Linked DNA regions of Macaca fascicularis. The protein of the gene in region 1 binds, or shares a complex with, the protein of each later gene. Links are inferred from orthologs where the notes say so. Each region holds a gene or a part of one and is shown on either strand. Other genes may lie near its edges.

Region 1 (3,479 bases):
ATCGTGAATGACTGCCTCTCTGGATGTAAATTTTTAAAAATATTATTACAGTATCATAGTCCCCACTAACAACAACTGGGGTACATATAACAATGTATTGTGAAATTAAGTGTATTTATTCTCTTTACCAATAGCAAATGCTACCCTACCTTAGTAAAACGAAGACTTGCTTCAATCAATGCTGTTTTGTAAAAATAGCAAAGCAACAAATGCTGAAAATCAAAGCTGCATTACTTGGGTTAAATCAGTTTCTACCTAAACTTAGAACACAGGTTAAAATTTTAGTACTAAAAGGCCTCAAAATAATTAGTGACAGAAATAGTGTTATTAATTTGCTAAGCTCAACAATAAGCAATTCCTTAATTAAAATCTTTGAGATATAAATTTGATGACTATTCTCTTCAGAAATGACATACCTGGATTATGTTAATCATGACAAGCCTTATTAATCACACATATAAACATGGCCTCATGCAATCATTTGTATATGTTACTCTAACTTGCATGAGCACAAGGTTTAATTTAATATCTATATCTTTAAGAAAATACTTGATATTATAAACAGAGTAAAAGACATGATATAGTAGTGATTACTGAAAAAAAAATTAGCAGCTTAAATCGATCTATATTTGAAAAAACGTAGTCACAAGTACCACAAATGCAGAATCAGAGCAGCAGGAAGAAGGTTAGTGCAATTATATTTTCATAAAAAAAATTCTGAATCACTGCTATTTAAAAACACCTTGAAGCAAGTCTTTTGTTTGAGATTGTTTTTTAAACTAAGGTAGCAAACATTTTGCCATGTAATGGCAGTGTTATATGCCGTTATCTTGCTTTGTATAAAGAAAACAACATGAGAGATTTTTAATACTGGAGGTTGGTTACATTTACATATTTAAGCTTCTACACAGAATGATGGACACTTTGAGAAGCTAATCCTTATCCAGAAACATTTTAATCTCTTAAAAAACAAAGCAAAACAAACAAACAACAAAAAACCCAAAACTACTTTGCTCCTTTTCACAATAGTGCACACTTTTACCATAATTTAGTTATGGCTACAAAACATCAGAAGATTTTTTTTTTTTTTAATGTATCTTCTCTATGGTAATTAAAAAAAAAAATTGTGCCCTTCTAGTCTTTAATTGGCAGAAATATGTCCCAAAAAAGAAACTATTGCATTTAAGCCACATCACCAAAAAACAAAACAGAAAAAAAAAAAAAAAAAAAAAGCAAAACAAAAAAACAAAACCAACAGAGCATAATACCCTTTTACTGATGTGTCTTACAGATTGACATGACCAAAGTCATAGGTTTTCATTTAATTTCCAATTCCCCCTTCCACAACATGCACCAACTGAATATATGCTCTGGGAGCCATAAAATGTACCAAACATCTACCTCTTCAAAAGAATGCATTAAAATATTTTAAAGAATTTTTTGTTGTTTAAAAGGTGAAAAAAATATAAACAAGAAACTGATTCACTCCCTTACTTCATGCATCCATAATCTAAACCAAAAACAAAATTTTAAAGCAAGAACAAACTACTGCTGCAAGTTTCTGTAAGTCCATTTTCTCTGTACATACAAACTGCTCACTACTGAAGGGAAAAAAGAATATAATCCATGGTGTCTGCTGATTCAAAGGGGAGAAACAAGGCTGTCATTTAGTATCCAAAAACTGGTACATGTATGTTCTGCTTTTATAATGTATATTTTTCTCTCTTCTGTTTTTCATATCCAAAACTTCTAAATGCTATTTTAGGGGCACAGCAGATTAGATTCCAGCACTTGGTGAACAGAATTCACAAGCTGTGACAAAACTCTGTCATCTTCAGGGTGCAATTTTGTGTATATACACTTATGTATATATTTCTTTTAGATTTGGCTGTAGTGGACTGGCCATGGTTCAAGTGGGACTATAGCAGTACATGGGTCAGGGACAGTCATTTTGGCTATGTACACATTCATAGTCGGTCCATGGCTTCCAACTAGTAGCGCTATTTCCGAAGGTCTAATACACAAACCTGTAAGAAATTAGAATAATCAACCAGTGTATTCAGAATTTTATTGTACATTTTATGTTTAACTTTTCTATAGTACAATTTGAAATGTTTCTTAGTTCCAAGTTTATAAAATTGGTAAAGCATGATAATCATGGAAATGAGCGGTTAACTGACAGAAATTAGATTTAAGCAGGTCAAGAGAACAACCATGAGCTCAAACTATGGGGGAAGAACCATGGCTAGGATTTTTAATACTCTGTTGATTTAAAAGGTAGGAGAAAATGCTCAAAACAACCATTTCCTATCTATTGGACCCTAATGAAAGATATCACGTATTATATTCAGCTACAGCATCAGTAAATAGCTACCCCTTCCCCATCTTCTGTTACTTCTACAGCTTTGGAAGCCATATTTGCATTGTTGTAAAGACTTGGCCAACCTCATTCTGAAAATCTTCCAGTATCACACATTCCTCAACACAGGAACCACCTCTAGTTCTGCCTTCCCTGAGCTAAAAAAAAAAACTCTTCTGTGAAGAGGAGAAGGTAGAAATACACATTAAAAATTTCAATCCTTCTCAGAATGTTACTCTGGTATACCTAATTTCATAAATGAAGGTTCACATTAAAAATAACTGTCCATTTCTAGATTATAAGGTACTCTTTTGGTAAGGACAGCCTAAATTTGGTTTACACTATTTAAATCCAACGCACATGAGAAGTTTACAGCCTCAGGAAAAAAAAAATCAGTATCATATCTTAAAATTTATTTTGAGAAAAAAAAAAAAAAACAACTTTGGTATCACTAACAATAAGCTGCATTCTGATGTGAATACCCACCCACACCCTCTTTGGAAACACTTTACTATACTTACTGAACCATCTGATGCACTGGCTCCAACTTTGTCTCCTGCTGCATTCCAGCAAACTTCAAAAATTCCACCTGTTCCCCTATAGCTGTGAACTAGAGCACCTGTCTAAAAGAATGAAAAACAAAATCTTAAAAATCATAATACATATTATAATAAATCCAAATGCTGAAATAAAAATATTACATGGCCTTATTTCTAGCAATCAAAGGAGGGACTTAGCTTCAACTATACAAAATAAGTTCTGAAATTCTAGAACTGTAATACGATCCCTTTATAAAAAGATGATACCAGCCTGTTCTCAAAAGATTACTCACACACATATTCAGTTTCTCCAGTGTTGATAACCATTCTTGGCTAAGGTATCTGGTCTCTTTGACATAGCCAACAATAGCTAGAAGTAAACATTCAGTCTATCAAATAAGTTTTTGTTGTTGCTAAATGACGCATGAGTCTAGCTAACATGTAAAGAAACAAAATAAATTCAGAATTTCTTTGACAGAACTTCTTAAAGAGGAAGTATAACAAACTAATAAAGATAATTCCAGTGTAACTCTGTTATTCACTCTATATTTACTGACCAGTTCCTAAGCTAGGGGATTATA
Region 2 (4,347 bases), on another chromosome or scaffold:
AAATGGGTATATTTGGAAGCTACAAAAAGACTGAACTCTGCCACTGAGTTCATGGAACCCGCTGTCTATCACTGACTTGCTGTGGACCTGCCAGTCATCCCCCCACCCCCCAAGCAGCCTTGACCTATTCCAGACAGTTGGGTGGGAGGCAACACAAACAGCAGCAGCCAGGGTCAGTGGCAGGTAGATTTTATTGGCCTGGGACACACGGGGGGTATCCTCACCCACAGTGGGGCAGGGGGCATGATGTTGAAGATATAATCTGATCGTCACTTGTGGTAGAATCGCGGGTTCTGGCTGTGTTGGATGAAGGGGAGCCGAGGGCCAGGTTGGCTGGTAGCTGCAAAGCCCGACTGGCGGTGGTGATGAAAAGAGGGCTTTGTCACTGGGCGTACTCTCCCACTTAATGCCCTACTGGTAACCACCCCCAGAGAGGAAGAAAAACCAGGTGATGTGGGCCACCGGTCCTACCTAATCCTGCTTTTCTGGATCCCTAGTGTAAGGATTCTGACAGGTAAACTTTATTATCATTCTTACCTTTCCTGCTGGTTGCATCTGCACAGGGAGCTGTGGGGAAGCAAGGAGTCCAGGGGCTGGATGCAGAGCCTGGGGGTGCATGGGGCGCAGAGAGGACTGCAGAGAACAGAGTCAGGGCCTGAGGCATACTGATGCTCCCCTTAACATATCCCTAACCCTGACCTCCCAAGATGCCATACTCACTGAGTCGGAGAAGCCAGTCTGCTGGTTAGCATGTTCCATCTGCTTTTGCAAGGACAGGGCACCACCAGGCTGGAGGAAACCTACGTGGGGAAGAGGGGCATGTGAGATGAGAATGAAACAGGGAGGGGAGGACCCAGAGAGCTAGAGCTCCTGCATGGGATGTTATCACCTGTCTGAGTGGGCTGAAAGTGGCCGTGCACGGCATAGGGCTGTGGCTGTGGCTGAGATAGGTACTGCACTGCAGGGAATGCTGAAGGAGCTGAGAAAGGAAAAGACAGAGCCATTAAAACCTTTTACTCAACGGCATTCCTCCTTTGACGTTGAGGAAGGCCAAGCCCCATCCCTCCTATTACTCACCTCTGAGCTGCTGACTAGGACTATAAGCTGGCTGTGTGGGCCCATAGTGAGGTGGGGGCTGAGCAGTCCCATAGGCACCACCAGGACTGCCTTGGAATTGTCCATGCTCTGGTGTCCCCGCAAAAGCAGCTGCTGAGCCCACATAGTGCCGGGTCTAAGGAGGGAGAATGAGAATTCGCCTATAAACTTGAAAGCTGAAACCCAGTGACTTGTGTATATCTGTATGCCCCATTTCCCCCTAAACTTAAGTGCTTGATATGTTTGTGACTTGAATACTGGTGGCAAGGATGCATGGATGGAAGCAGTAGGGGCTGGGCATCCAATCCTACTCTCACCGTAAGCACTTGGGGTCCAAACATTTGTTTGGCTCTGTCAGCTGCCATGAGGGTGCCTGGGCGATTGTGTCCTCCAGGGCTCCCTAGAAAGGGAGAAGGGCTTCATGATGCTGAAATGGGAGGCTGCAACCTGTAAGAAGGCCGGTTCCATCAGGTGGTCTCTTTAGTCCTCACCCTGCATGCTGAGGAGATGAGTTCCTGTGTGGACAGTCAGGCTCTGCTGGTATGCAGCTGATGTCAGGGTGGTCAGGTCACTGGAGTGAGAGGAAGGCAGGTCAAAGCTAAGGACAGATGCCTTCTCTTTCGCCATTAAACACTAGTTCTTTTATTACTTGATCCCAGTTCCACTTGGCCCCCATTTCAGTTTTTAGTACTCTGATCCTACCTCTGTTCCTTTCGCCTCCGTTTTTCTTCCTCATGTAAAACTTTCTTGAGCTGCAGGAAAAGCTGATGCTTCTCTTCCTGTAGGGCCAAAAGCTTCTCCTCCAACTTCAGAATCTGGGAGGGAGTGGGAAGAGAAGATGAAGGCAGGGAGAGTCAAGGGAAGAAATCAAAGCTGGGAGAGTTCAAGGGACTGCTTACTTGTTCCTTGGTCTCCTCTAGTGACATTCTCTCTTCCATCTCCTTTTTCTTCCTTCTCTCCTGTTCTTCCTTCATCTTCTGTTCCATCATCTTATCCACCTCTTCTTCCTCTGGAGAATCAGGCAGAATGAAGAAGAGGCAGGGTAGTGAAAACAGTTCCAACGTTAGATTGAAGACCAGCAAAACCCAGTCATCCCAACACGCCTGTGCGCTCTTTGCCTCGAGGGGACAAGCTCCCCCATCGCTGCAATAGGGAACGGAGAGGCTTTATCAGGTGCTCTCCAAGGTCCTTCCCGTCTCAAGGGTTCTGGAGCGTGGACCAGGACGCTTAAATCCCACCACAACGGGGCTATTCCTTCCCTCCTCTGCGCTCGGCAGCGGGCTCACTGGTTGGCCGCTGGGTTGAGGCCAACCCTGAGGTACAGGAGCCATTCTGGGCCGTGTGTCCCCCCGCTATGGCCCCGGCTCACCCTGCCGCTTGCGCTCCCGCTCCATCATAATGTGCCGGTGCAGCGCCCTGGCCATGGCGTTGGAAAGCTTGGGGCGCTCCAGGAGTGCGGGCATGGTGCTGCCGTGGGCGCTCGGGCCGTGGGCGCCCGGCTCTGTCTCTGACTGCCAGACCTCAGACGGCGCCTGCGGGGAGGCGGGCGCTCAGAGGGGACCGCGCCCGGCCCAGGCGGAAGCCCGTCCGCCCGACCCGCTAGCCGCCCCGGTCACGTGTCCCAGGAGCCCGCCACCCGGCCGGGCCCGCAGCCCCCGCTCCACCGCGCGCACGGGCGGCGCCGGGATCCCCGACTCGGTGCTGCCGCTCCCTGCCCAGCCAGCCCGGACGCCAGCCCTCCCTACCCGCCTTCTCTGCGCTTTCTCAGCAGCTCCGGCGCGCCCTGGCCCGTACGTCACATCCGGCGGCCCGGCCAAGTCCTTCCGGAGTCACGGCTGCGGCCGACCTCACGGGTTGGGTGAGAGAAAGCGGAAGCGCGCTGCGACGGGTGCCCGCGGCGTCCAAACCCCGTAGCCGGGAACGCGGGCGACGAGGGCTGTAAACTGGTCTTGGCATCCTCAGCTCTCTTTAATTTCGCGGGCCCACCTGGTGGCACCCCAGGGGACGCGGGCTCCGGGGAGGGGCGCGCGAGAGAGAGGCCGAGGCGGAGGCTCTGAGACGGTGTTTATTGGCTCCTTAGAAATCAGAGTCAGTAACAACTGTACAGAGGCCCCCATCTTCCGTGCGCCCACCCTTCCCCACTCCCGCCTGGTGGCCCCGGAAAAAGCAGCTTCATGTGGGCACAGGGAGAGACTCCTCTGGGATTCACAGTAACCAGAAACAAAAACGGAAATAAATTAAGTGATGTGGGGAAGGGGAGTAAAAGGGAGTCATGTTCCCCAAATCAGTGCATGAAGAGGGGTACCAGGGCCTGGAGCTGGGCTCCCACGGCTCCTCCCATCAGACGGAGTGCTGGGCCTCCAGACATGGAGCTGTGCCACTTGCCACCTACATCTGAGAGCCTGCCTACATGCTCCTGCGCGGCTGCCAAGCTCCAGCACCTGCGCATGCCACGAGTCACGGGAATGAGGTGGAGGCAGTCGCCAGAGTCCATGGGCCCGAGGCCCGACTGTGCTTGTAGTATTTGTGTGTCACCCCTCATTCCACCCGTACCAGCAGGGCATAGAGGAGTGTGGCCCCCTTCTCCTTAGTGACCCACTCAAGTTCGGCTGGACTGAAGTGAGGGTCAGGAGGTTCTCCAAGGGCAGCGGAAGGGGGTCCCGGGGTGTAGGAGCCAGGGCGCACACACACCTGGAACGCCACCTGAGCCTGGTGCGTCCGCTGGGATTTGGGGTCCCGGAATCTGTCAAACAGGAAAAAATAAGGGAGTGAAGCTTCTCTCCCCATCACCTCCCCCTTGCAAAGTCTGTTCCAACCACACAAGCCTTGCTGTACCTAGGAAATACTCCCGCCTTATAGGAGCTTCACTCTAGCTGTTCTTTCTACCTGAAATGTTCTTCCTCCCAAAGCCTGCTCAGCTACACCCTTCACTTCCTTCTTCAAGCCTTTGCTCGAATCTCTCCCACCTTCTTACGATGCCCACACCAGCCACACTGCTGTCTCCTTCGCCCCCCTCTTTCCTACGATGCCCACACCAACCACACTGCTGTCTCCTTCGCCCCACTCTTTCTTACGATGCCCACACCAGCCACACTTCTGTCTCCTTCGCCCCACTCTTTCCTACGATGCCCACACCAGCCACACTGCTGTCTCCTTCGCCCCACTCTTTCTTACGATGCCCACACCAGCCACACTGCTGTCTCCTTCGCCCCACTCTTTCTTTGTTTCCATAGTCCTTACTTATTACCTTTA
Region 3 (3,647 bases), on another chromosome or scaffold:
GCCTCCCAGGTTCAAGTGATTCTTCTGCCTCAGCCTCCTGAGTAGCTGGGATTACAGGTGCACGCCACCACGCCCCGCTACTTTTTGTGTTTTTAGTAGAGACGGGGTTTCACCATGTTGGCCAGGCTGGTCTTGAACTCCTGACCACAGGTGATCCACCCACCTTGGCCTCCCAAAGTGCTGGGATTAGGTGAGCCAGTTTCTTGTAGACTTATCTTTTCATTTTCCGTGGGGATAGACCTAGGAGTGAAATTGCTGGGTCATGTGGGAATTCCTTTTAACCTTTTGAGGAACTGCCAGACTATTTTCCAAAAGAGCTGCACCATTTTACATGCCCGCCAGCAGTGTATGAGGGGAAATGCCCTTTTATTGAACATCTGCCATGTGCTAGCTACTCCCTCCCATGATCCTCACACCAGCCTGTGAAATACCTGTGATTGCTCCCTTTTACTGAGGAGGACACCAGAGCTCAGAGAAGTGAAGTAACTCCCCCGGATCACACAGGGAATAAGAAGTAAGGCCTAGATTCACACCCAGCTCTGTCCCTTACATGTTCCTGTTGACTGGTTGCTGACTGACTACATGACTGTCCAGATGCTAATGTGGAATCCACCTCCTCCCCAACCCTTCTGGGCACTGTCTTGCAGACAGGGAAGTTGGACCCCCACTACCCAAAGGTCTGCGGGCACAGAGGGAACGTTCTGGATGTCAAGTGGAACCCTTTTGATGATTTTGAGATCGCCTCCTGTTCTGAAGACGCCACAGTGAGTGTCAGCCCCTCCTGAAGAGTGGGATTGGGGTGGGTGGGGTGGAACGGTACCTGTTCTTGGCTCTGGTGCCCCTGACTCCATCGCGGAGTTGAGGTCACTGTGTGGGGAGGTGTTAAGTTAGGTAGAGGAGGAGACATTCTAGGTGCTGTAGGACTATGGGCCTTAGTTCCCCGCCTATAAAATGGGCATAATAGCTCCACCCAGCTAATAAAGCCCAGTGAAAATGTGTATTCCGATGGGAAAGCCCATCCTTTTGGGGGGCTATAAAAGGCTACAAGGGGCATTTTTATGGTGATCAGAAAAGATGTTCCACTTAATCCCACAGTGAAGAAGCGAGCTGTAAAAGGCTGTGAGGGCCTTGGATGAATGTGGACACTAAAACCACTCCAGCAGCTTCAGTCTCACTCACTTTTTTGAGCCTGTGTTCTGTACCAGGGTTATCATTCCTACCCCAACAATGTGCAGTGTTACTTATTTATAGTTCATTTCGTACCCACTTTTAAAATATGATGGATATGGCTTAAGACAAGAACCACAGATGTGCCAGGTTCAGTGGCTCACACCTGTAATCCCAGCACTTTGGGAGGCTGAGGTGGGAGAATCACTTGAGGCCAGGAGTTGGAGACTAGCCTAGGCAACATAGTGAGACCCTGTCTCTACTAAAAAATTAAAAATCACAGATATGATCAGATGATTAAAATAAAGATAAAAGTCATTATCACCATTTATTGTGAGCCACCGTATTCCTCACTGTCACCATACTCATCGTCTCACAGTCTCCCCAGCAACCCCACAAGGTAGGACATTTTTCTAATGGAGAAGCTGAGGATCAGAGAGGTACAGCAACTTGCCTAATGTTTCACAGCCTGTGGGAGGCAGAGCCAGACTTCAGACTGAGGCCTGATTCCAGAGCCCATTCTCTTTCCAATGTGCCATGACACATCTTTAAAGAGCAGCAGCCACAGATGGAGAAAGTGAGGAAATACTAGAAATGATGGCTAAGGAGGGTTGCAGCAGCCAAGCTCCTAGCTTAGCTAAGAGCTCCCTGGCAGCCAAGGCAAAATGGGCAATAGAATGTATTGCAAAACCTTCAGTTAGATCAAAAGAAGCAGACCAGTTCATCAGGAAAGGAAAGCAGAAAATTCAAAGAGGATTTGTGTCGGTTTCCATATAGCAGATGCTGAGGAACATAAAGGACAGGGTCTGCCGAGGTGATTTTACCAAAGGGACAGTCAGGTCCTGTGAGAATTGGCCCTGTCCCTAGGGAGTACAGGGCCTCTGGCAGGATGTCAGATATCTGAAACTGTCCCCACTTTTGTAATACCTGCCTTTTCAGAACTGCTTTGAAGGCTCCCATCAAGATCTTTCTTAAATCTCTTGCTAGCCTCATTGCCTGCCACTATCCCTTCCCTGATGCCCCAGGGCAGGACATAACTGTTGGGGGACTGAAGAAGGAAGGGGCTTTTCTCCCCGAAGCTATGCCCACAGTGAATTTATGGAGTGAATTCATTCGTGTTCCTCCCTGCGTTCAGGGCCTGGAGGGCACGGTCGCTCCTCTAGCACTGGGGAGTCTTCTCTGCTTCAGTGTTGCGGGTGGTACCTGCATCTTCCAAACACACCTGTTCACAGTGTGTCTTCCTCCTGGGGTTCTATGTGGTGAGAGCCCTCACCACACCGAAGTATCTGGAACCTGGCACTACTCTCGTGGGGTTGGCTTCCTGGTTTTAAATCCAAGATGACCAGGAAAGAAATATTTGCTGAATTGAAAGCAAAGTTGTCTACCTGAAAAACCTGTATAACTCTAAGGGAAACAGTGCGTAAAATCAACTACGGGCCAGAGAACCTTGCAGGACCAATAAGGAAGGTCAAGTCAGCAGCATCCCAGGCTCGCCTTGTACTCCATTTGTATACCTCTGTGACAGGGAGCTTACTCTCCGCCATGGCAGCCCCCTCCATCTTCAGACAACATGACTCTGGAAGGAAGTCCCAGTGCCTCTCCTCAGGCCCTCACCATGAAATACAGGCCTCTGACCCCATCCAGTCCAGCCTCTTGACCTTCAGAGTTTCCTCTTGCAGGCCATCCAGGGTGCACCTGCAAAGCAAGAAGTTTGTCCCTGCCCTGCTCCAGAGACCTCGCTGGCTCCCTAGTGCCCTGAGGATGCAGCCTAAACCCTTCATCCTGGCATTTGAGGCTCTACCCTGGGCCTTTGGGACAAGAAGCATGTAGAATACTGTACTGTGGGGGATATCCTAGCTTAGGAGGCCTGAAACCCAGCCACCTGCCCACCACCTCAGGCCAGCAGAATGACAAAGATCTCTCAAGGGCATATTTGGAGGCCTAGACTCATCCCTGGTCAGCACTGACCCCTGCTCGGGCTGGAGGAGCTTGGGGAAGCCCCTGTCCCTCTGGGGACCCTCAGCTGCCCCTCCACTGCCCCTCAGTGCCCATAGCCACTGAGTGGGAGGTGGCCATGGAGAGAGCTCCCTTGGTCCTTCTGCTGGTCACTGCCAGATCTGTGGCTTAGGCTGGTGACGGTGCCAAGGTGCCCTGGCTGATGCTCCCTTGGGCCACGTCTCCCCTGCCAGATTAAGATCTGGAGCATCCCCAAGCAGCTGCTGACCAGGAACCTCACGGCCTGCAGGAAGGAGCTCGTGGGCCACGCACGCAGAGTGGGCCTGGTGGAGTGGCACCCCACGGCCGCCGACATCCTCTTCAGTGCCGGCTATGACTACAAGGTGAGTCTGGGTGTTCTTCTTCTGGGGCAGCCCCTACAAATTCCCACGAACTGGAATACCACAGAAATTTATTCTGTCACAATTCTGGAGACCAGAGATCGAAAACCAAGGTTTTGGGAGAGCCAGCTCCCTCCAGATGCC

Evidence for each region.
Region 2: TBL1XR1 (region 1) and GPS2 share a complex: the UniProt entries of both Homo sapiens proteins name them as parts of the N-Cor repressor complex. The link is inferred for Macaca fascicularis from reciprocal best matches to the Homo sapiens genes TBL1XR1 and GPS2.
Region 3: TBL1XR1 (region 1) and CORO2A share a complex: the UniProt entries of both Homo sapiens proteins name them as parts of the N-Cor repressor complex. The link is inferred for Macaca fascicularis from reciprocal best matches to the Homo sapiens genes TBL1XR1 and CORO2A.

Annotation. Positions count from the first base shown.
Region 1 is NC_088376.1:88,740,492-88,743,970, forward strand, and holds part of TBL1XR1 (F-box-like/WD repeat-containing protein TBL1XR1), read right to left. Parts: intron 2,983-3,479; coding exon 2,881-2,982; intron 2,028-2,880; coding exon 2,001-2,027; 3' UTR 1-2,000. UniProt on the Homo sapiens protein: F-box-like protein involved in the recruitment of the ubiquitin/19S proteasome complex to nuclear receptor-regulated transcription units. Plays an essential role in transcription activation mediated by nuclear receptors.
Region 2 is NC_088390.1:7,369,386-7,373,732, forward strand, and holds GPS2 (G protein pathway suppressor 2), read right to left. Parts: upstream 2,899-4,347; 5' UTR 2,845-2,898; exon of another isoform or gene 2,769-2,844; intron 2,628-2,768; 5' UTR 2,559-2,627; coding exon 2,465-2,558; intron 2,105-2,464; coding exon 1,995-2,104; intron 1,911-1,994; coding exon 1,798-1,910; intron 1,667-1,797; coding exon 1,587-1,666; intron 1,496-1,586; coding exon 1,413-1,495; intron 1,232-1,412; coding exon 1,078-1,231; intron 980-1,077; coding exon 890-979; intron 801-889; coding exon 721-800; intron 634-720; coding exon 538-633; intron 354-537; coding exon 270-353; 3' UTR 174-269; downstream 1-173. Other genes in the region: NEURL4 (neuralized-like protein 4), read right to left, coding at 3,634-3,838. UniProt on the Homo sapiens protein: Key regulator of inflammation, lipid metabolism and mitochondrion homeostasis that acts by inhibiting the activity of the ubiquitin-conjugating enzyme UBE2N/Ubc13, thereby inhibiting 'Lys-63'-linked ubiquitination.
Region 3 is NC_088389.1:59,988,342-59,991,988, forward strand, and holds part of CORO2A (coronin-2A), read left to right. Parts: intron 1-647; coding exon 648-764; intron 765-3,356; coding exon 3,357-3,506; intron 3,507-3,647.